Linked DNA regions of Pelodiscus sinensis. Each later gene encodes a partner of the first gene's protein in a complex. Links are inferred from orthologs where the notes say so. Each region holds a gene or a part of one and is shown on either strand. Other genes may lie near its edges.

What was found.
Region 2: the proteins of ATP8B1 (region 1) and TMEM30B are in contact, whole or in part, in a cryo-EM structure (PDB 7VGH), measured with the Homo sapiens proteins. The link is inferred for Pelodiscus sinensis from reciprocal best matches to the Homo sapiens genes ATP8B1 and TMEM30B. Residues at the interface, in NP_001361314.1 of Homo sapiens: Trp362, Val366, Ser369, Ser370, Trp371, Tyr372, Leu373, Tyr374, Asp375, Gly376, Phe418, Trp421, Asp422, Leu423, Tyr426, Asp431, Pro433, His939, Trp942, Arg946, Tyr968, Phe971, Asn972, Gly973, Ser975, Ala976, Gln977, Leu1003, Gln1005, Phe1049; in NP_001017970.1 of Homo sapiens: Gly9, Ala10, His11, Gln12, Pro13, Asn15, Phe18, Thr19, Gln20, Gln21, Arg22, Leu23, Pro24, Ala25, Trp26, Gln27, Pro28, Leu30, Ser31, Ala32, Ala35, Leu38, Phe39, Phe46, Leu49, Leu53, Tyr109, Tyr111, Asn116, Phe117.

Annotation. Positions count from the first base shown.
Region 1 is NC_134716.1:110,412,305-110,423,660, forward strand, and holds the start of ATP8B1 (phospholipid-transporting ATPase IC), read left to right. Parts: upstream 1-5,681; 5' UTR 5,682-6,177; intron 6,178-11,356. UniProt on the Homo sapiens protein: Catalytic component of a P4-ATPase flippase complex which catalyzes the hydrolysis of ATP coupled to the transport of phospholipids, in particular phosphatidylcholines (PC), from the outer to the inner leaflet of the plasma membrane.
Region 2 is NC_134722.1:38,425,696-38,436,862, reverse strand, and holds TMEM30B (cell cycle control protein 50B), read left to right. Parts: upstream 1-5,590; 5' UTR 5,591-5,673; coding exon 5,674-6,723; 3' UTR 6,724-8,489; downstream 8,490-11,167. UniProt on the Homo sapiens protein: Accessory component of a P4-ATPase flippase complex which catalyzes the hydrolysis of ATP coupled to the transport of aminophospholipids from the outer to the inner leaflet of various membranes and ensures the maintenance of asymmetric distribution of phospholipids.

The DNA.
Region 1 (11,356 bases):
TTAAGCCAAACAAACCATGCTCTTTGAGTCTCCTCTAATAACCTAGGTTTTCTATTCGTAAGATCATCCTAGTAGCCCTTCTCCACACCTGTTCCCATTTGAATTCATCTTTCTTGAACTCAGAAGATCAGATTTGCACATTGTACCTAGAGTATTTGCAAACTTTCAATTTCCTGCCAGTCCTGGGAAAATATCCCTTCCCTTTAGACATGTACCTAAGTGCATATTGGGAAAAGCCATTGAAGGATGGCTATTAACCTTTATTAAGAGGTATCCCTATCTGTAACAGTTCATATGCCACAGAAAGCAGCAGGTCCAAATCCTATTAAATGATTAGGTAATTGGGAGAAATATTTGGAAAGCAGAAGTGCAGCACCTGCTCAACTAATTAAGATGAAACATTCTCAGGAGTTTAAGCAAACAATTTCATGTCTGTGAAAGCCATTTTCTTTGGTTTTAGTTAATATTGTTTTTATTAAGATTAATATTAATTTCTTGCAGCTGTTCCCAAAAATAAGAGAAACTCATAACTTGTAAGGAGAAGTGCTGAAGATTCAAATTATGGCCATCATTTGATGGGTCAGTCACAGCCTGTAAGCTATGTGGTTCAAGTAGAGTAGAGAAAAATATAAATGCAGAGATAGGTAGGCTAATATAGCCTGTCTATTTCTTATACCAAGCCAAAATATAGTGATTAGGCTAAGGAAGCTCTCTCAAAAATGGAATAACTCCTATTATGTTTCTTCATGTTCATTTTGGCATTAATGATTATTGTAATAAAGGTGTAACACAGGACTGCTGATCAGACTGTTTTTGTCTAGCATTTATTTTCTGGCATAGACCAGGATTAAAAGTGCCTAATATCCTTCCTTGTTAGATGATGTGGGTCAGAACATATCCATGACTAACTCAAATGGCTCTAATGACTGTTAGAATCAGTACTCCATTTGCCCATTTTTTAAATGCATGGGGAATGGTATATTTTTCACTTATTTTTACTTCTTTAACTACTTGCTGGTTGGAAAATGAGAGTTTTCTTATTAATACAATTTTCTACTGCATAAAAATAGCCCACCACTGCTATTCAGAGCAGAACCGTTTATCTTTAATAGCACAACCAAATCTTTTATTGGCACAGATAACAGTCCAGCTAATAGTAATATTTGCTCTCATGTGGCATTAAAACCTACGAAGCAATTTGCAAACATTAGGTAGTACAGCTTCACAGCATCCCTAAGAGATAAGTATGGTTACAAATTGATAAAGCAAGTCAGAGATTGTAAGGCTCTGAGTTATAAACTAGTGAGGAAAGCTACTTCAGTATCAAACTGTGCAGTGAATACAAAACTACCTGGCTCCACAGTTACTGTAATTGTGTGTGCAAATAGAGTAACCATTTGCAAAATATAATTCAGAAATGGCTTTTGTGCGTGTATATGTATTTGCACACATACACTGTCTCTTCATACCCATATGCAGATTCATAGCCACACAGCTGGTCAGTTTCTAATGATGGAGAGAAACGAAGTAATGCAGTCAGGAACACTGTAATTTTTTTTATATAAAGGATGTGCATATAACCTGTTAAATCGAGCGAGACCAAATTGCTCACAGCCAATTCCAGAAAGCTTCACTACTGACATTCACCAGAAACAACTGACTCTATTCTTCACTATCTGTCCTTCCAGGTCTCAAACTCTCTCTCAGCAGACATACAACTTTTCCCTCCTCACTGACATATTTCCCTCATTGAGGAAATTGAAAAGCAGTAGAACATCACCACACTGCCCTTTGCTCACATATTATTGTTCAGCTACTAGTTCATTACCACATTGATCACCTCATTATAAAAGGGAGAAACTGAAAGTCACAAATTTTAACACAGATAAAGGGATTTTTTTAAAAAAAATTAACATAATTAACGTGTGGATCTTATTGCCACAAACCATCATTGGGGCCAAAAGTTTCAGATAATTAGGATTTGGATTAGCTGTTTTGATGGATAAAGACAACTGAGAACATCCATAGTTACATTGTATAGGCTACATACATATTAGAAACACCAGGCATAACCCAAACACAGACAGAAAGGGGTTAGGAAACTTCCCCCTAAGTTTTTCCTTAATTGTCTGCTATGGATTTTCTAGCACCTTCTTCTGAAACATCCTTAACTGATTGGGTTCAGTTGATTGATTATTGGGTTCAGTTAAACAAAACACATTTATTCATTCACTTGGCATTACTTCTCCAAATGTCTTCTTTATTATTTATGTATTTATTTTGGTAGCAACCACTGTATGCTAGGTTCTTTCCAAATACTTCTATGCCTTGTTTTTAACTTTATTTTATCACTTACTACTCCTCATCCCTTTTATCCTACTATATTTTCTACTCTCAACATTCTGTCTCCTCATCATCATCATCTTGTTTCTATTTCTGCACTCATTTTCATTTTCACAAATTTCTACGTTCCATCATATCATTTTCTGAATTTTCTTCTATCTTTCTGATGACAGTTCCATGCCATGTCCTCTGATCACTGGAAATGGTTACAGAAAACATGGGATTGTGGAATAAAATCCAGACTCTAGCAACTGATGAATCTCTAGCAATGGAAACAGCATAATGTTTCATAAGGAAGTTAAGCAAATTTTGTTGAAATGAGTATGAATAAATTTGGTAACAAAAATAATTGCTAGTGCACTGAGTCATCAGAAACCACTGCAAACAAGATACCAGATGACTTATCAAAACTTAGTGTCAGCAAATACTTTGACATGTTGGGGGGAAAACAATAGTGCTATAAGTACCTATCATGTAAATGGTGGACTAGAAGTGTGAGTGGGATTATCTATTTACAGTAAAGGTTTAATATTTATTTTATCATTGTGGCCTTTGTGTAGTTTTGATCTTGTTTTTACTTCAGCGTAAGAAGATCTTGTAAACACCTTGGAGCAGAAACTGTATTTGTTTCTATACCGTATTGAACATACTGTTGGCACTTAAATAATTACATGATAATTATAGTTAACACATTCTCATTATCCTATCTGTTATGTATCTTAGGTAGCATGTAAAACAGGAGTGGGAAGCCTAAGGCCCAGGGGCCGGATGCGGCTCACCTGGATCTGGACCCCGGGGCTCAGCGCTCTTCCCCAGCAGTGGGGAGTCTGTGTTTGGTGTTCTAGGACCCTCCCCCCCCCCCCCCCCGCCAACTCCCTGTGGAGCTGGAGCACATGAGGTTCCAGTGTGCGAGGGGAATGTGGGAAGTATCTTTCTCCTTCTCAGTCAGGGGCCACATCAGTGAGGTTGTGGGGTTTTTTTTCAGGTTGTTGGTTTTTTGCCTTCTCACTTGTGTGCAGCCTCTGACTAATTTTTCTGTGGATCAATGGTCCCCTGAACCAAAAAAGGTTCCGCTACCCCCAATGTAAAATGTACACTTCCCATCATTGTATGTGTTTGTATTAATGTGGATTTAGTACAGCACTTATATTAGAGAGCACTTATTGAGTGCCTCTATTATTCTTAAAGTCTAAATAAGAAGTTTGTTGGTAAGGGGCTCTTACCTGAGTATTTCCTGGAAGAACGGCAAGGTAGGTGAGGTAATCTCTTTCACTGACTCAGTATATGCTGGTGAAAGAGAGAAGCTTTTACCTACAGAGACCTCTTCTTTAGGCCACCTTGGAAGCATGTGTAACATTATTTCCGGACATGCTGACCTGCAGATTAAACAATATGAAAGTGCCTTAGGCTGTCAAATTTAGGGTCAGGGACATCACTAGCTGGGTTCTCAAAAGGATTTAGTACCCAAGACCTCCCACTGAATTCTTATGAAAGTCTTTTGCTATAAATTTACTCTCGGTACTTTTTGTCTGTTTCATTTAAGGAATCTGCATTCTCTTTTCAAAATGTTTTATGTTTAACTTCAGAATTCATCCAAAACAAAGAATACCTGAAAACAGAGCAAGAAAGAGTTGCAAGTGAATAAACAAACTATTCACAACACACTCGCAGAATTGCCAACCCCCAGAGTAATGCCAGTACAAAACAATTGGCACCCCAATTGTCCAAAAACCGTAAGTCAGACCCCTCCAATTGTCTTAAACATAACATATTGGAGACTCTTTTTTTTGCAGATTGAGTCTTTAAGGTACCTATAGTTTATTTACAAACTTTCTTCACAACTACAAAAACTAGAAACTTTTTTGTAATGAAATCTAAATCCCATATAATTACAAGAAAAACACCAAATATGGCAAGGTTCACAATAAAATAATTCACAGCACTATATTCAGGATCTAACTGAACACAATTGAGCTCCATCTCGGTTGCAAAAGACATTTTGTTTCAGCCTTTAAGATCTCCAAAATTTGTTATAAGTGGGTTAAACTGTTTATTAGCCCAATAAAGGCTTTCAAAATGAAAACAACAAAAAAAATTAAAATGTGTGTCTTTTTTTCTTTTAGCTTCTTTGATGGAGGACTCTAGTGAGATTGTGACATCATCAAAAGCAACGAGGAAGTGCCATCTAACTAATTGTGAAAGGAAGTGAATTTTAAACAGGTTATTTAAAAATGGAGTACAGTTTTGATAGTTATTTAATATCTATCAGATATGTGAAGTATTTATATGGTTCCTATCACAGCAATCTTTGAGCAGCTAAACATCTTTAATCACAACATACCTTTTAATGTAGCTGAAACAAAATACAGGACTATGTAGCACTTTAAAGACTAACAAGATGGTTATTAGGTGATGAGCTTTCATGGGCCAGACCCACTTCCTCAGATCAAATAGTGGAAAAAATATGGTTGTGACAATTTTCTTCCACTATTTGATCTGAGGAAGTGAGTCTGGCCCACGAAAGCTCATCACCTAATAAACCATCTTGTTAGTCTTTAAAGTGCTACATAGTCCTGTATTTTGTTTCAGCTACAACAGACTAACACCGCTACATTTCTATCACTTTTAATGTAGGGAAGTCTTTCAGGAAAAAAAAAGTAAGGAAGACCAGGTTTGATATTTCTAAGGGGAAAAAACCAGGTAAGTAAAATATTTTGAAAAAATAATTCCAGAGCTATTGAAACCATTATAGAAAAGCAAAATACCCACAATTCTTTCTGTTTCTTCTTTGCATGCCCCTTTAACATTCAAATTTCTGATACCAGGACACAACCGAGTTGTATTTTTGGCTCAGCCAACACTCTGCTTTTTGCCAAAACCATTTTCAAGAAGGGTGCTTTTGAAGAGAAAGATTACAATTTTCAGGCTGTACAGGATTGGGGCTAATATCAAACGGATGTAGCTCTTCACACGTTTCACTGGATCTGAAACCTGAAGGACCTTTAAAAAAAAAAAAGCCTAAAACAAAACAACCCCTCGCTTCTTTCCCCGCAGATAATTAGATGCAAATGTAAAAAACCAAACCAAAACAAAACCTTGGGAAAGAGAGAGCCCGGGGTTTAGTTCCCCTTCTTTCAAAGAGAAACAAAAACCAGGCAGCTCCCACCTACAAGAAAGTCCCGAATGAGGTAACTGAGACAGGTGGAGGGAGTGGGGTACACAAAGATGAGTAAATGCCTCGGATGATTCTGGCGCTGTCCGGATTTCTAACCAAGCAGGGCTCAAGGCCAGGCTGAGCGCGGCTGAGAACCTTGAGGCACAGACAATAAGGTGGGCCCAGGAGGAGCGGGCATGGCTCTACCTAGCTGCTAGCGCCGCTCTCCAGGGGGAGCGCTCCCAGCGTGTAACCCGAGCGCAGGCCGCTCCCCTGGCTACGGGGCTGGGGAAAGGGGGATGTCTCCTGCCCCGGTGGCCGCTGTTAGTACCTGGGAGTCACGTGGGCTGTCCCCGGGCTAGGGGAAGGGCTTAGTGAGGGCAGCTGCGGCAGAGGTGGGTTCCCCCTCCACCCCGCCAAGGGAGGATGAGTCCCAAGGAGTAAGCCACCCCCGCCACACACCTTCAGCCGGCGCTCACCTTCCTGCGCGCGGCCAGGCACCTTGTGCAGAGTTGAGGAACTCGTTTGGCCGGTGCTGAGCCCGCTTGCCAAGCGAGGCGGGGAGCCGCGCGCCATTGGAGGGCTGGGGAGAGCAGCTGGCGTGCAGCAAGCGGGGCGAGCGTGCAAGGTGTAGGGCGGGAAGCTGCCCCGAGCGGCCGGGGCCCGAGTTCCAGCGAGAGGTGAGGGGGCTGCGGAGGCGGGGCGCTGCGCGTCTCGCACCGGGGCTGGAGGGGGTGTGGGTAGCTTGGGGGGCAGGCGCGGCGGCTCGCCAGGCGGGGTGCGGGGCGTGAGGACCGAGCCCCCGGGGGAGAGGGGAAGGCGGTTCTCCCCGAGCCCACAGCAGCTGTGCGCTCCGGAGCACGCTCCGCCTGAGCACCTGGCCCTGCTCCTGCCGCCCCAGAGCTCCACCCCGGGCGAGTGGCTCTAACTTTCCTAGAGCTCCTGCGGGGTTCGCTTCCTAGGTGCTGCAGCACCTCCCTGGATTGGAGCGATTCCCAGGCGGGGTCACTGTTTGGTTCCAGGGCTCTCCGCATCCCTGGCTGCCTTCCCCGAGTGCTGTTCCCGTTGGCTTGCCCGGACCTGAGACAGCCAAGGCAGGAGTGCCAGGGAAAGGCTGGAGGCTCCCAGGCCAAGCGGTGGCTCTGCTTGATTCCCTAACTGAACTTTAGAGCCGCGCAGCCCACCGCGAGAGAAAAGCCAAACTGGTTCTGGTAGCTCTTTGACAGGAATCCAAACAGGTCCCAGCCAGATTCAAGGTGCAAGGGCTGTCCCCCTTCAGCGTTTATCTCTCTCTCCAGACATGTGCGCTAGTTATCTACATCTCCCAGATTTCTGTAACTAAGGTACAGAGGATGTCTGGAGGCCATTCATAAACTAAACTAGATATTTAACGTTACATAATAGTTAACTAACCTAAAAGGGTGTTACAGGGAAGAGGGAGAAAAATTGTTTTCCTTGACGGCTGATGATAGGATAAGAAGCAATGGGCTTAAACTGCAGCAAGGGAGCAAGGTTGGATACCAGGAAAAACTTCTTAACTGTCAGGATGGTTAAACGCTGGAATAAATTGCCTAGGGAGGTTGTGGAATCTTCTTCACTGGAGATATTTAAGAGCAAGTTAGATCTGTAGCTATCAGGGATGATATAGACCCTTTTTGGTGCTGCTGTGAGGGCAGGGGACTGGACTTGAAGACTTACAATTCTAGTATTCTATTGACTTACTCTCAAGATCACTTACATTTCTAGTATTCTATTATTGTATTGTATTAATAGAGCTTGTATAGTGTAATGCCAAAATATCTATTTTTTCCCTGGGTGTAATTCACTAATCTCCTCCAGTGCGCGCACAGACCTGCGTGATTGGGTAAATGACCAGTACACCTGCCAGTTCTGATTCATTTTCAGAATGATCACATTTTAAAGTAAACATTAACTCAATGGAGAAGCGCACTGCATTGATATGTTGCCTAAGTGGAGGAGGAAATGAAATAAAAAAAAAAAAAGCAAAACTGGTGTTTGTTTTCAAATGTCTTTTCAATCCCGTCTGCCTGCACAATAGAGAAATGAACGTCATTCTCCTCCCTGTACTGGGTGGACAAAGGCAAATTATGATGCAACTGCTTTGACTCCAGAATTTGTTGTTTGTATGTAACTGTATATGCTCCATTACATTTTATTTTATTTTTTTAAAGACTCTCTACTTCTTGAGCTCATTGTAATAACTTTTCATTTTCTTTTAATATGAAAAGGATTGCCTGATTCCATTGTGACTGCAGCAATTTTGATCTGCACAACTTTATATAAAGCACAACAACATAACAAAGGAAGAAAATGCTACAGGATATTAATTCCTATGTCGACTAAGCGATTGTTTTCTTCCTTTTTATTCACTTAAGGAAATGAGAAATCCCGGAGTGACGATGTTTAATATTTTGACCAAATGTAAAGGTTATATAAAGGCTTACACATTATATGAATTTCAGGCTAAGCCAGCGATGAGAAGCCTAGACTAGTGAATGGGCAGCATATTGTTGTAACTAAGATGGTCTCCTGGGATAGGGTAGTTTGCTAACTGCGCTTGTATTCCTAGAATTTGCAGGATGTTCCAGTTAAACCATAGCAGCACTTTGACTGGATGTAGAGGAAGCTCACAGTCAATGTTGTATGCAGTTAGCCCATGTGTCTTTGGTTTATGTGCATGTCACTTCAGTAATACAAGTAAGGAAAAAACCTACCCAGCCAGCGGGATCTGGCAACTCTGTGCATAGGTAACGGTAAACATAAGGTCTCACAGGCCACACACAGAACCTGAGGGACCACAGGTAGCCCTGAGGTGGCAGGTTGCCCACCACTGGGCTAAGTCATATTCTCTAATAAAATAACTATATTACATTATCAAATAATTAGTTTCACAGGAGGGGAGTCATTTTTTTAATTGAATCTCTTAGTAGGGTTCATGTAACTTTTCTGTGGGTCACAAGTGTAGTGTATTTCACTTACGTACAAACAGTTTTTATTAGTGGTATTTTAAGTGTCAACAGTGTAATTTTGTGCTGTACAGCCATAGGCAGATAGTCCCTACCTAGAAGACTTTACAATACAGTGAATGTAGAAATGGAAGTTCAAACTCTAATGATAATAGCAGCTCTTCACTATATTTTAGGGAGTGTTTAATAAATGATTGGTGCATCCTACTTGTGATGGTGGGGCGATCTGAAGAAAACATTGACTGCTGTGAATTCTGATGAAAATGGTAGTAAATATATTGCAGGAGTGAGTCAGTTCTACACAGTCTTCTAAAGAAGTGAAGCTGGTATTTATTAAGGAACATTTATAATCATATAATAAAACTTGTGTAAGAATATCATCCATTAGGTTTGTCACTATCTGGAACTCCTAATGTAAAAGTGGAGCAAAGACATTTAGTCGTAATTTTTCTGGATTTTTGGTTAATTGTTTTTGTGATTCAGATTTCTTACTACATGGCTGTTACTTAGTAAGATTTAAAATGTCCTCAAAACGCTAGCTTTTTTTCTCTAAAAGTATTGCTTAATCGAACTAGTTAGTTATCGAAACAATATCCTAACTTTTTATTTTGAATATGCTCTGATGCTAGTGTTAAAAGGACTGTGTAAGTAGTTTCATAGATATAGTACCAGGAACTTCTGAATATTGGAGGCTCTCAGATTTGTGATCACCATCTGCTGACTGGGCAATGTATTTACAGCAAAGTGTAAGGGAAAAGTGAGCCAAGTACAAACCAAGTGGACTATTAGCTAACAAGATTCTGACATATATCCTGCACATGTTCTTATTAGATTTCCAGGCTTTAACTTTTTTGAGGTGAGGTTATGAGTGTCAAATTGTGTAGTGTCAAATCATGATTGGTAGTCAGTTTATTTTAAAATCGTAACTCAAGCTCGTGGTGAACATGATGGTTTGGTCATTTGTTCTCTGTTTATCTCCGTCTCTGCAGTTTCCAAATGTGAATTTTCTTGGCAATAAAAGATTGAGCACTTTGGTGGTGTCAGAGTAACGTATACCTCATACTCACAGATGTATGTCTCAACTCCTTCAACTTCCCCCCCCCCCTTTTGTTTTTTAACTGAGCTAAACATGCATGTGGCCTTAATTTCAGTAACTTGAACTATTCTCTTGGCTTGTTCTCCCTTATGAGAATTCTTGTGTGTATTCTGGTCCCTAGTCTTGCAATTTGCAATACTAAATTGGATGAGCCACTTGCCTGCTTCATGTCTTTGCCTTCTATTCAAATTAGCCTACACTCATTTGCTATTTTTTTTACTGTAGTTATGCAGCCTTTATTTTGACAGTATGTTAGTTGTGTTAGTCCTGATTGTGCAGTCTGCTATAGGTTTAAATTCTTCTTTTGGAATCGTAAGAGTTCCGGTCTGTATCCTTGGCTGTTTTTCTTTAACCAGCATCTGCTAAATGGGACAGTCTGATCCTAATTATTTGAGCAAAATACTGAGAGCCAGAAACTCTTCAATGCTAATCTCATCTCTGCCTGTGATTTGCAATGTGACCTTGGGCAAATATCCTAACCTTTCCATCCCTGTTTCTCTTTCTGTAAAATGCAAAGAAGCCTTTATTACCTATCTCTTATGGGTATTATAGGATGAATTAGTCAGTGTGGTCAATGCTCTGAAGAGGTAAAAATACCACCTAACAAGTATTCCTTGATATTAACTCCTTATGACACTTGTAAATTTTTTTCTAATTAAAGTTTTTTATGCAGCCTTGGTTATCAGACTTTAACATAGGGCTGCCAAGTGATTAAAAAAGTAATGATGATTAATCATGCAATTAGTCATACTGGTAAACAGTAATTAAATTAAATTCTAATATTTTGCAGGTTTTTACATTTTCAAATATTTGATTTCAATTACCACACAGCATACAAAGAATGCAGTGCTCACATTTCTGGTTATAAATGTTTGCACAATAAAAAAAAAACCAAAAGATAGTATTTTTCAATTCACCTGCTATATGTACTGCAGTGCAACCTGTTCATCGTGATAGTTGAACTTACAAATGTAGAATTACGTTCAAATAAAACTTAATTTAAAAATTAAATAATGTAAAAGTTCAGTGCCTATAAGTGCACTCAGTTGTCTGACTTGTTCAGCCAACTGCTCCGGCAAACAAGTTTGATTACCATTTGCAGGAGATAATGCTGCTTGCTTCTTGTCCACAATGTCACTGTTGTAGCCAGTGTTGCAAGATATTTACATGACAATTGCGCTTAAGATTCATATATCCCTTCATGCTTCAACCATTCCAAAGGTATATGCATCCAGAGTGATTAAGGGCTCTGCTTCATAATAATCGAAACCCAATACAGGCACCTTAGAGGGATGAAATAGTATTTCCAAAAGCTTGATATGTTTGGACCAGAAGAGGTGATGCACAAATGCTAATAGATATTTGGACTAAACAAGGAGAATGAGACCAAATAAGAAGTCCACTATGCAATTTATTACTTGAGGTGATGGTGCTCTGAAATGCAGAAGAAGACTTTCACAATGTGACATGAATCACTTTCTGCCTGGTGAGGTGTTTTTCCCCCCAAAATTGATCCTTCAAATAGTTAATGTGAGTAAAGTTTAAGTGTGTGAGTATGTATGTGTGTATTCGGGGAGGGAAAGGGAAGAGGAAATCGGAGCACAAACAGTTACCTGTTGCATTAGTATCACGGTGGCATGAGATCCTTTCCCTACTATTTGCCTAGAATGTAGTTTTGACATGCATTTAAACTTTGTAGTGTATACACATCTGTGTGGGAAGGACAACTGTTATAGGATTTTTTTAATGGTCTCTACTGTGGGCGATGCCCACTTT
Region 2 (11,167 bases), on another chromosome or scaffold:
GCACTGGAACAGGTTACCTAGGGAAGTAGTGGAGTCTCCATCCCTAGAGGTGTTTAAGTCTTGGCTTGACAAAGCCCTGGCCGGGTTGATTTAGTTGGGATTGGTCCTGCCTAAAGCAGGGGGCTGGACTTGATGACCTTTTGAGGTCTCTTCCAGCTCTATGGTTCTATGATTCTTTTTACAGTGAAGTTGTTTGGGAGATGTTTTAAATTGTTTTTTTTTATTTGACAGTCAGTGCCCTAATTTGGTTTTGTTCTGAAAGGGATCATCTGAATTTCAGAAATATAACAGTCACTCTCATGACTGAATTAGTGTTTCTTGGCAAAGGATATGTGTCTTTTTTATTACTGAAAAAAAGAAAACAGCAAGGGAACCATAAGAGCAAATGGGAAGGACCATGTCAGAAGTAATTTAGCGAGGATGTCAGGTGTGTGTCTGTTCTGTTTCTTCTCTGAAACTCTGTCTACAGCAGGGAACTTTAAAAAAAAATCTGCCTGTAGAAACACAGGCTTAATGTAGCATTAATACTACAGTGCTGGTATTAATAATACAGTAGCATTAATAATATAGTGCTGAAAAAAGCTGCTGGTGTTAGAAAGCTGTCTTTACTAGAGCTGCCATCTTTGCAAATGCTGTGTCACAATCAAGTGCAGTATAGGGGTGGGGACAAGAGTCCCAACCAGCATGCATACCCGCAAGCATCTGGTGAAAGGCTGGTTCAACCCGTTTTTCCACACTGTTCAAAGAGTAGAGCTAAATGGGCTTCATTATGAGCCTCCTTTGTTATTTTTAAATGGCTCAGCCAGAGCTGATACAACTTGTGGGAGGACTGTGTTATAGATAGAAAGCTAGCTAGATTGTCTGGCTCAATGGGTAGTGATCAACAGCTGATGTCTGGGTGGCAGTCAGTATCAGGTGGAGTGCTCTAAGGGTTGGTGCTGGGTCTGGTTTTGTTCAGTATCTTTATTAATGAAGCTTCAGGGGGTAGCTGAGTTAGTCTGTACAGCAGTGTTTTTTAAACTTTTTAAGACTGAGGAACACCAAACAATAATTTTTTTTATGAGGAACACGATGGATTTTTTTGTTGAACAACAACAACAAAAAGTCGGCGGGAAAAAACGGGTCGAGGGGAAGTTATTGAGAAAAAAAAGGTTGCCTGCCCTTTTAAGGGCAGCCATTTTAAACTCTGTTGTTTGCCGTGGCACACCTCAGACTGCCCTGTGGCATACCAGTGTGCCGCGGAACTAAGTTTAAGAAACACTGCTGTACAGGATAAACTTAAACAACAAATGGTCTGGTAGCACTTTATAGACTAACAAAACATGTAGATGGGATCATGAGCATTCATGGAGTGGGTTGTGCTCACAAAAGCTCATGATACCGTCTACAAAGACCATTTGTTGTTTTTTAAGTTTATCTTTATTAATGACCTGGATGAGGGGATGGTTTGCACCCTCAGCAACTTCACAGATGACATTAAGTTAGGGGGAGAGGTAGATATGCTGGAGGTTAGGGATAGGGTCCAGAGTGACCTAGGCAAATTGGACATTGCACCAAAAGAAATCTGATGAGGTTCAACAAGGAAAAGTGCAGAGTCCTGTACTCAGGATGGAAGAATCCCAAGCATTGTTACAGGCTGGGGATTGACTGGCTAAGCAGCAATTAGGCAGAAAAAGACCAGAAGATTACAGTGGACGTGATGCTGGATATGAGTCAACAGTGTGTCCCTGTAGCCAAGAAAGCTAACAGGATATTGAGGTGCATTAGGAGGAGCATTGCCAGCAAATCTAAAGAAGTGATTATTCCCCTTTATTCGGCACTGGTGAGGCCACATCTGGAGTATTGCATCCAATTCTGGTTCCCAATTACAGAAAGAATGTGCACACACTGGAGAAAGTCCAGCCAAGGTAACAAAAATGATTAGGGGGCTGGAGCACATGACTTATGAGGAGAGGCTGAGGGGTTTGGGTTTATTTAGTCTACAGAAGAGTATGGGGGGATTGTATACAGTTTTGTATACAATAACATCACTGTAAAAAAAGCTCCCCCAGTAAAAAAAATTAGCTATTTTTCTCATATTTTCCTAGCTGAATTTGGTAATTATAGATATATCATTTAATATTTCTGATTAACAAAAAGTAGAAAATGCCCTTGACATTGTTAGTTATTAAGGTGTTAAAATACTGAAATTGTGATTCTATCAGGTTGCCTTAGTTAGCTATTTGTGGAGTTCCCCTTAGCTGTTTGCAATAGGAGCAGTGCATTCTCAGAAAATAGTGCCTAAACCTGAAAAACAGCTTTTTTGAGCCTTGTATTAGGCTACTCCTGGAAACTCAATATTTGAGTTTGAATGACCTAAGTCTTAAGGAAACAAGCTGTCCTATGTTGTGTGTACAGATCTTGGACTAGTCTGGATGGGAGGCTATCAAGTGCTGGCTCTTCAGTTGTCTCTCTCCCCACGTTGTGCTTCTCCTGCCCTCTCCCTTGGAGCTGACCCCCAGGAGCCACCTGCTTGCTGTGTAGGGTGGGGAAGGCAGAGGAGGGGAGCACAGATGTCAAGGTGTCCCCTGCTCCCATGCCTGTACTTCATCTCTTAGGGCTGCCAGGTGTCCAGTATTCACTCAGACACTGGTATTTTTGCCCCCTGTCTGGTAAAAAAAATCAGAAAATACTGGACACTTAAAATGTCTGGTATTTTCTGATTTTTCCCCGGCCAGGAGGTGAAAATCCTGGGTGCTTACCTGGGTCCGCAGGGGAGCTGTCTGGCCCGGAGCAGGAACACAAGATGGCAGATGGTTGTGTTTCAGGCATTTCTTAAAGGGGCCATGCTGGGGTTTTTAATGTGTTTAATTTTTAATTTTTCTTTGCTTAATAATTTTGGTCTCCCCCCCCCCCTTTTTTTTTCTCAACAGAATTTTTCCCCCGGTGTATTTTTTGGGGGTGGGTGAGTGTTCGGTATTTTTGGTTAAATCATCTGGCAACCCTAATCTACACAAGCGTCCAGTAGCCTAGGCAGGGGAAGACTTTGCCTTCCCAAACTGCCAGGCATGGCTCTCCTCACACTCCGCCCCCAGTGCCTGCCCTGCCAATACTCCTGGCCGGGGAGGCTGGAGCCACGCGGCCTCCTGCCTCCCTGATGCTGGGGCTGCATCAAGCACCCTCCTCCATCTCTTGGTGCTCCAAGGAGGCAGGAGATGCACCGTGCACCCTCCTCCCTCCACTGGTGCTTTAGGGAAGCTGGGGGCCACACACCTGCTTGCCCCCTTCCTTCTCTTCCCCTCCCCCCGGGGGGGGGGGGGGTACGCTCAGCATGCTGCCCCATCTCCTCCCTGTGAGGGGTGGGGCCTCAGCAGAGGGGGAAGCCATGACTGAACATGCTCAGCAAACTTACAAGAGTAATGCAAATCTATAAATCTCACCATGCTGTGTCTAACACTCACACAAACACACTCTGTCCTTAACACTCACCTCCCTGCCCAACACATCCTTGAGTTGTTTTTACTTCTTTTACTTGTTTCAAAATGTCTTATTTCAGGTTTTTGACTGGTCTGTGCATTTTATAATTTTTATTTCTCTCTGATGCTTAAATTAATTATTTGAGTAGTGAATCTAAAAAAAGCTACCTGTCCTGGCTGGACTAATTATCCTCATGATAATTTAAAAAATATTATCAATTATTAGGATTTTAATTTCAACAGTGCTGCACATCACCTCAATATTGGTGCACATAACAAAATTCATTCCCTCTAATTTTTTCCCTCCCACACTCTGAACTCCTCAGCCCAAGACCAGAACCAAACCCTTGTCCTAGCCTGGTGAAAGTGAGTGAGGATGGGGGAAGGCGGGAGGAAGGAGTGAGCAGGGTGGAGCCTTGGAGAAGGGATGGGCCAGAGGAGAGATTTTGGAGAAAATTACAGCACTAGTTTCCCAGAATAGGGCTTAATCTCCTGGAGGCTCTTGCAGCCAAATCAGGAGATCAGCCACTAACAGTGCAGCCATAACAATAGGAAGCAGCCTCCTGCCCTGGCCCTGCACTCCTAGAAGTGGCTGGCCCGTCCTTATGGCCCCTGGGGAAGGGGAGGGAGTCTCCACACACTGCCCTTGCCTGCAGGCATTTCCTCTGCAGCTCCCATTAGCTGGGAATGGGGAACAATGACCAATGGGATGTGGGGGGGGTTGGGCCTGCTGAAGGGGGTGCCACCTGCCCCTCCCTCTCAGGAACCATTACTAGACATACTAGATTCCTTCAGCAATGATGCGGGGCCAGGGTGGAAGTGGGTCTGCTTTAGCCCCTCTGCTACACTGCCTGGGTGCTGCCCAACATAAGCATTGTCCAGCTGCAGCCCACATCCTTAATCCCTGCCTCAGCCCTGAACCTCTCCTGCACCCAAGCTCTCTTCCATAGCCTGCACTCTGAATCCCCTTCTGCACCCCTACCCCAGGCTCAGTCTGGAGCCCCTCCCACACAAACTGCACATCCCTTTGCACCTCAACCTCCTGCTCCATCCTAGTGAAAGTGAATGAGGGTGGGAGGGGAGGGGCAAGATGGAGTCAGCAGGGTGGGGCCTTGGAGAAGGGGCAGAAAGGGAAATGGGGCAAGGGTATTAAGGTTTGAGGTAGATCCTGGATGGCACTTAAATTCAAAAAGTGATCTTGCGCTTAAAAAAGCTGGTGTAAATACTATGTTAAGCTGACCAGATACATGCTAGGTGTATATGCATGTGTTTATATTGTGCTAGATTGGTTTGCCTGTGTGTAGATTCTCCATTTAGGCTATGCTATGTACTTTTTGTGTAGATGCTTTGCTGGCTATGTGTAGATATTGCATAAGGATGGGATCTATGCATTTGTGTTTGTAGGTATCCTGCAGGAGTCTGCATGTCGGTAGATGATCTGTAGATGTGCATATGCAGGGATGGTCAGGAGGGCTGGGCTGAGGTTGTGAAACTTCTGTTTTTTGTGTAAAGATGACTGGCTTGGCGGAGCTGGGGTGTATATCTCATGTTCTGCTTGGGCGTGTATGTGTGCTTGAGAGCTGGATTGCATGGTCTACTCCCTGGAGAGTGTTACAGATCGGGTGAGCTCCCCCCTGGACTCCCAACTGTCTAGATCTTGGGGGCAGAGGCTATTCCAGAGAACTGAGCTGTCCCTGCGCTGCTTGCTCTGGAGGCCCTGCCCAGGGGGCTGTCGAAGAGCCTAGGTCTGCATGGGAATGGGGACTATGCCAAGAGAGCTCTGCCCGATGGATGGTCCCGGCTGTATGGGACCCTGCCCAGAGGGCCGCTGTCAAAGAACGGAGCTCTCTCCTGCGCCATGCGGGACCAGGGATTTCCCTACACCCTCCCCCCATGGGAGTGTAACCCCCCCCCAATTTTGTGAACTATGGTGCCCTACAGCCACCGTCACCCTGCCAGTTTCACCCCTCAGCCCTGACACCCCCTTGTAAATTGGAACACCTCCCCTAATTTCAGCTCCTGGGGAGGCTGCTGTGCAGGACCCTGCCCGGTCGAGGAGCAGGGGTGGCTCTGCCGGGGCGGTGCCATGGAGCCGAGCGCGCCCCAGGCGGCATGTGGCCCTGCCGGGGAGGGGGGCGGGCTCTACCTGGCGCTGCGCGGCACCGCCGCTCACCTGTCCGCGCGCTTGGGCGGGGCGCTGCAGCGCTGCGCGGGGACCATGGCGGCTGCTGAGCCCTGCGCCGGGCCGCCTGCCCAGAACAAGCCGGACAACACGGCCTTCACGCAGCAGCGCCTCCCGGCCTGGCAGCCGCTGCTGTCGGCGGGCACGGCGCTGCCGCTCTTCTTCTGCGTGGGGCTGGCCTGCCTGGCCCTGGGGCTGGGGCTGCACTTCTCCTCCGCCACCATCCGGGAGCTGGAGCTCGACTACACCGGGGCGCCGGGCAGCGGCCACAACTGCTCCCGCTGCGCCAACGCCAGCGCCGGGAGCTGCACCTGCTTGCTGCTCTTCCAGCTGCCCGAGCGCTTCCCGGGGCCCGTGTGCCTCTACTACCAGCTCTCCAACTTCTACCAGAACCACCGGCGCTACGGCGTCTCCCGCGACGACCGGCAGCTCAGCGGGGACGCCTGGGGGCTGACACACCCAGCCACGGAGTGCAGCCCCTTCCGCACTGACCCGCAGGGCATCCCCATCGCCCCCTGCGGGGCCATTGCCAACAGCCTCTTCAATGACGCCTTCACCCTCTACCACGTTATCAATGGCTCCTTCTACCCTGTGCCCCTGGACAAAAGGGGCATCTCCTGGTGGACCGACTCCAACGTGAAGTTCAGCAATCCAGAACCGGTCGATGGCACCCTGGAGAATGCCTTCAAGAACACAACCAAGCCCCCCAATTGGCCCCGTGCTGCCTACCAGCTGGACCCAGACAACCCCAACAACACCGGTTTTATCAACGAGGACTTCATCGTGTGGATGCGTACTGCTGCCTTGCCCACGTTCCGCAAGCTCTACCGCCGTGTGCATGAAGGCAACTTCTCCTCTGGCCTGCCCCAAGGCACCTACTGCCTCAACATCACCTACAACTACCCTGTCCTCTCCTTCCAGGGCACAAAGAAGGTCATCTTCAGCACTGTTTCCTGGATGGGTGGCAAGAACCCCTTCCTGGGCATTGTCTATCTGGTCTTTGGCTCTGCCTGCATCCTCACTGGCTTTGTCATGCTGGCTGTTCATATCAAGTACCAGAAACAAAATCAGATGGATGTGGAATAGAGAGTCAGAGTCCAAATGCCACCAAACTTTGAGCTCCAGATGCAAACTTTGCTGCTAGCATCTGGGCCTTATCTTTCTTTTTCAGTGGTATCAGTCTGATTTCAGTGGGTTTACTGCCAACTCCCACTAGTGTAAGTGAGAGGAAACTTGGACCTTCAGTGTCCGTAGTAGGCTGGATGAAAACCTGGTTTCCTTGCCACAATGGAGAGTTCAACGCTGCTTAAATTCTACAGCTTATTTTAAACTGAGTGATAAGCCCTTCACTTTGTCTATATATCTGTGCACCTAAAGAATCACTGTCAGATTTTCTTTTTGCCTATACACAATTACCAATATTTCTAATTACACCTCAGACTTTGTTTTTTACTTTTTTAGAAGACTGGGATCATTTCAATCTGTCTCACTTTCAATCCGTCTCACTTTCTACACTATTTTCCTCTATCTGGATTAACTTCTGTTTTTCTAATCTTTTTTTTTAGTAATGGAAGTGAAGCTCACTAGTCTCTGTCTATGGATAGATTTTAAAGACAATGCACTGCAGAGTTTGCAATCCAACAGCAAATCATTGTCCTAATGCATGGTAATCTAAATATGCATCTGACTAGAATTTAACACTATTTCTGTTTAGTTCTAACAAGACTTTTACAGATTCCATTTTTGGAGACTAAGTTATTTGTGCCTTTTTCTTTACACTGGTAAAAGGGACATTTGGTAATATCATAGCAAGACCAAAGATCAATAAGAGACAGTGTTCACAATGATGAGTTCTATCATGCTGCTTGAGCCCAACGTGTAAAACACTTTCATAAAGAAGCATCACTCTGCTGGTGGTTGATTTGGCAGCTGGTAGCTGCTTATGGCTAACAATCCAATTGTCAACTGTTTTAATTTCAAGAATGCTTTTTTTCTTTGAAGAGGAGGATTATATACTAGTCCTTCACTAAAATGGAAAAAAAATTGACCTGAAACTGTCCAAAACAATAAACTTTAAAGGTTGATGTTAATCCTTAGCGAGAGACTATCATGTTAGATGCTAGATGTAAGTGGTAACTGTGATCCAAAACCATTTTTCTTCCCTCATTCCTTCTCACTTGGGCTCATGCTGATAGCTGCAGAGAGAGTAGAGGCTTCTTTCTACACAATGACTTTACTTATAAGCATCTTCTGGACACAGCTGACTAATGTTGATACAGTCCACGTAACTTCACTCATCGAGAAAAGGATCCTTTTTCTGTTATAGATTTATCTTCTATTTTAAAAGGATGGGAAGATCTTGCCTTGTCCATATGTTCTTTTTCTAACAGATATTGCTAAGAATGTCATTAAATAACCTTGAGACTAGAAACACTTTACATGGCAATAAAATCAAGTCGTCCAACTTACTTAGTTTGTGTCCAAAAATAGCGACTCCAGTGCCTAGAAAGACTAAGCAAGGAGAATAGTCTTAAGTCCTCAAACATGTATTTTCCTGAATGTTTATATTTTGTTTCCTGTGAAGGTTTTTTTTTTAACCTCTTAAAAAGTTGAGTTGACAAGTTAGTGATGGTAGGTAGCTTTGGGAACCATCACTTGATAGTGGTTGCTTATGAGATGATTTCTTATTAGATGTCTGAATGTCTGTGGCATGTGATGATGTCTAATTCACAATGTAACTGCTCCCCTTGTCACATCCATGTATATTTTGAAGTCTTTTGGGCAAGTGTGGGATCTCTTTTTAATTTTTCAAATTGGGTGAATCTTACTCCATAAAAGTTTCTTGAAACAGATTTATAAATGTGGGCTTATTACTACTTTAGAAGCAGTGTCTTTTATACCAGTGCTGTGAACTATATGTCAGCTGAGACCTGAAAAGTCAGGTAAAACCTTGAACAAATTACTTCAACTCAAAGCATTTTCAAAGAAGTAAAAGAACACAAGTAATTGTCTAAGAAATGGCCTTGCATATTAAATGAACTTTTTCCCCAAGCTCACAGTGGAATTGGGGTCTGTGGAATGCTGCAAATGCAAGAAAAAGTTTTCATACAAAGATAATAGCAGTGTGTACAGTGAGCATATGAACCAAATTCTGCTCTGTTAGACCCATGCAAATACACTGAGGTTGCATCGGTGTAAATTAGGACAGACCTTGCCCTTTCTGCTGTTAACATTATTCCTGCTAACTATTTTTTTTACATATAGATTTGCCCGGCAGTCTGATCCATGTGGGAAGTAGACTGTAGAATGCAAATATATGTAACTTCATTATTAGTTTATATTCACTGCTAGGAATGTTAGCTCTCCATATTGTGAAATGGGTTACGTGCCCCACAAACCGGTAATGCTGCTAGTTCTGCTAGTATCTCTTAAGCTTAATAATGGATGTGGATCTTCTGGAAGGCCTCTTGGAGTGGAAAGGGCAAGCTCAACTTCAGCAGTGTAGCTCTTTTTATGGGAAAAAAAACCCAACTGTTAACTACCTAAACCTGTTGTAGTTCATGTCTACCAAAAACATTCACAAAGTGCAGGCCAATTATGCAAATAGCCTTGAGAGATGGTGACTAGATTATGCATGTGGATTACATGAAAGAAGACTTCACTGTAGACTCGGGGCATGATTTTTTTTTTTTACCCTGATGTGCATAACTAAATCCATAGAGTTCTACTCTGGTATAACCAACATAAACAAGAGGAGAATCAGAACCTTACTGACTGATGAGAGGCTATTCTTCAAAGTTTTCTGTAGTTACTAATTGTCCATATTTTGTTTCATCTGTATAGAAGACTTCTTCACCACAGTGCATGTGGTTTTTACTCCTATATTTATATATCTTTCGCAGGAGTTTAATTGCAGAGAGAGTAAAAACATACTTTTTTTCCTATTGCCACCTGATGGAACCCTTCTAAAGGAACTGGGAATGACCCTCCTTTCTCCTTTTCCTAGTCCATTTTGATATCTTTATAACCAATAGATGAATCAGGTAAACTTCTCATTTCCCTGTGAAGTCATGGTCAACAGTTTGACAATGTGAATGAATACCCATTAGTAAGAACTCCATTCACTTTCAAAACTTATTTAAGCTAAAAGGTGTTTATGGGGAGAGTGTCTATAATTTTATTCATAGATTGCTTGAAGGCAGTAAAGGTCCCAATGACTTAAAAAAGAAAACCAAGATTACTTCTTCTATACAATAGTCAGCAGCAAATGAACTTGTAAAGAATCTTTATGACAGTTTCATTGGGTGGTGGGTGAACGGTTTTGTTCAAAGTTCATAGTTACCATGACGTACAATAAAAGGACAATTAAATAAAGTTTACATATATCTCAGAATCCAGTAAGACTCTTCTTCTGTAGCAATGTCAATTTTTATATTTAATTATTAAGCCAGCCACACTGATAAGTCAGGAAGAGAGAGTCTGGGTGAGCCTGATTGTCCCTTAAGATTGAGAAATTGCAAGTGCAAAATTGTGCCCAAAGTTACTTTGTAAGTGCAAGAAAGGTAATCAGGATTTTTGAAACTCAACTGATCTAAACTATAGGATAGTATATAAGAGGCGTATTGGATAGCTGAATGATCATGTTAGAATCCACAGTTGGGGAAGCATTTCATTGGCTTTGTGAAGTGACTAATAAGACTTCTCTCACCACCTCTCCAGAAAACTAGCCAGGACAGCTATATTTCCATTTATGTAAGATATCCTACTTAATCAAATGTCAACTTTTTAATCTTCCAGTATAAAAGTTACATAGTAAATGACAATAGCTATGGCAGTATCATGTAGTAAGTGTCTTCATCCTAAAAATGTGCTCTTTATTACAGAGCAGATTATTCAGATGTTAATAGAAGGAAAAAACATCAATACTAACAGCCATGAATCAGGGTAGTTGCTGTCTGAGATATAACATTAGAATATATTTGGGAAGATACGTTTGAGCTATGTGCAATTCTAGCAAGCTCTAACTATTGGATAGAGTTACACTAGGCCAACTCGAATAATTCATTTTACTTGGAATTTTGGTTGATATTCACCATTCTTTACTTCCTGTGCTTAACTACTATACTATGTTGTGAACTGTTAAACCATTACTGCATTTCACTGTAGCATTTCAGTACAGGCAGTCCCCGACTTACGCGGATCCGACTTATGTCAGTTTCAGCAGCGGCTGAATCTGGACGCCAGTTCCGACTTACATACAGATTCAACTTAAGAACAAACCTACAGTCCCTATCTTGTACGTAACCTGGGGACTGCCTGTAGTTGGGTAAAATGATCTAGATCTGTCCCTTTCCTACCTCAGAGGAGTGCTATGAGACTTAATTATGGCTCACAAAATGCTTTCTGAATTTTGTCTCAGAGGGTATGTTAAAGAAAATATTTAAACACAGGCTTGTGTGAGACTGTTGGTAGTACTTGCCTATCAACTCATGCGCTAGAGCAATTTTAGGGGGTGCTGGTTTATCCCTTT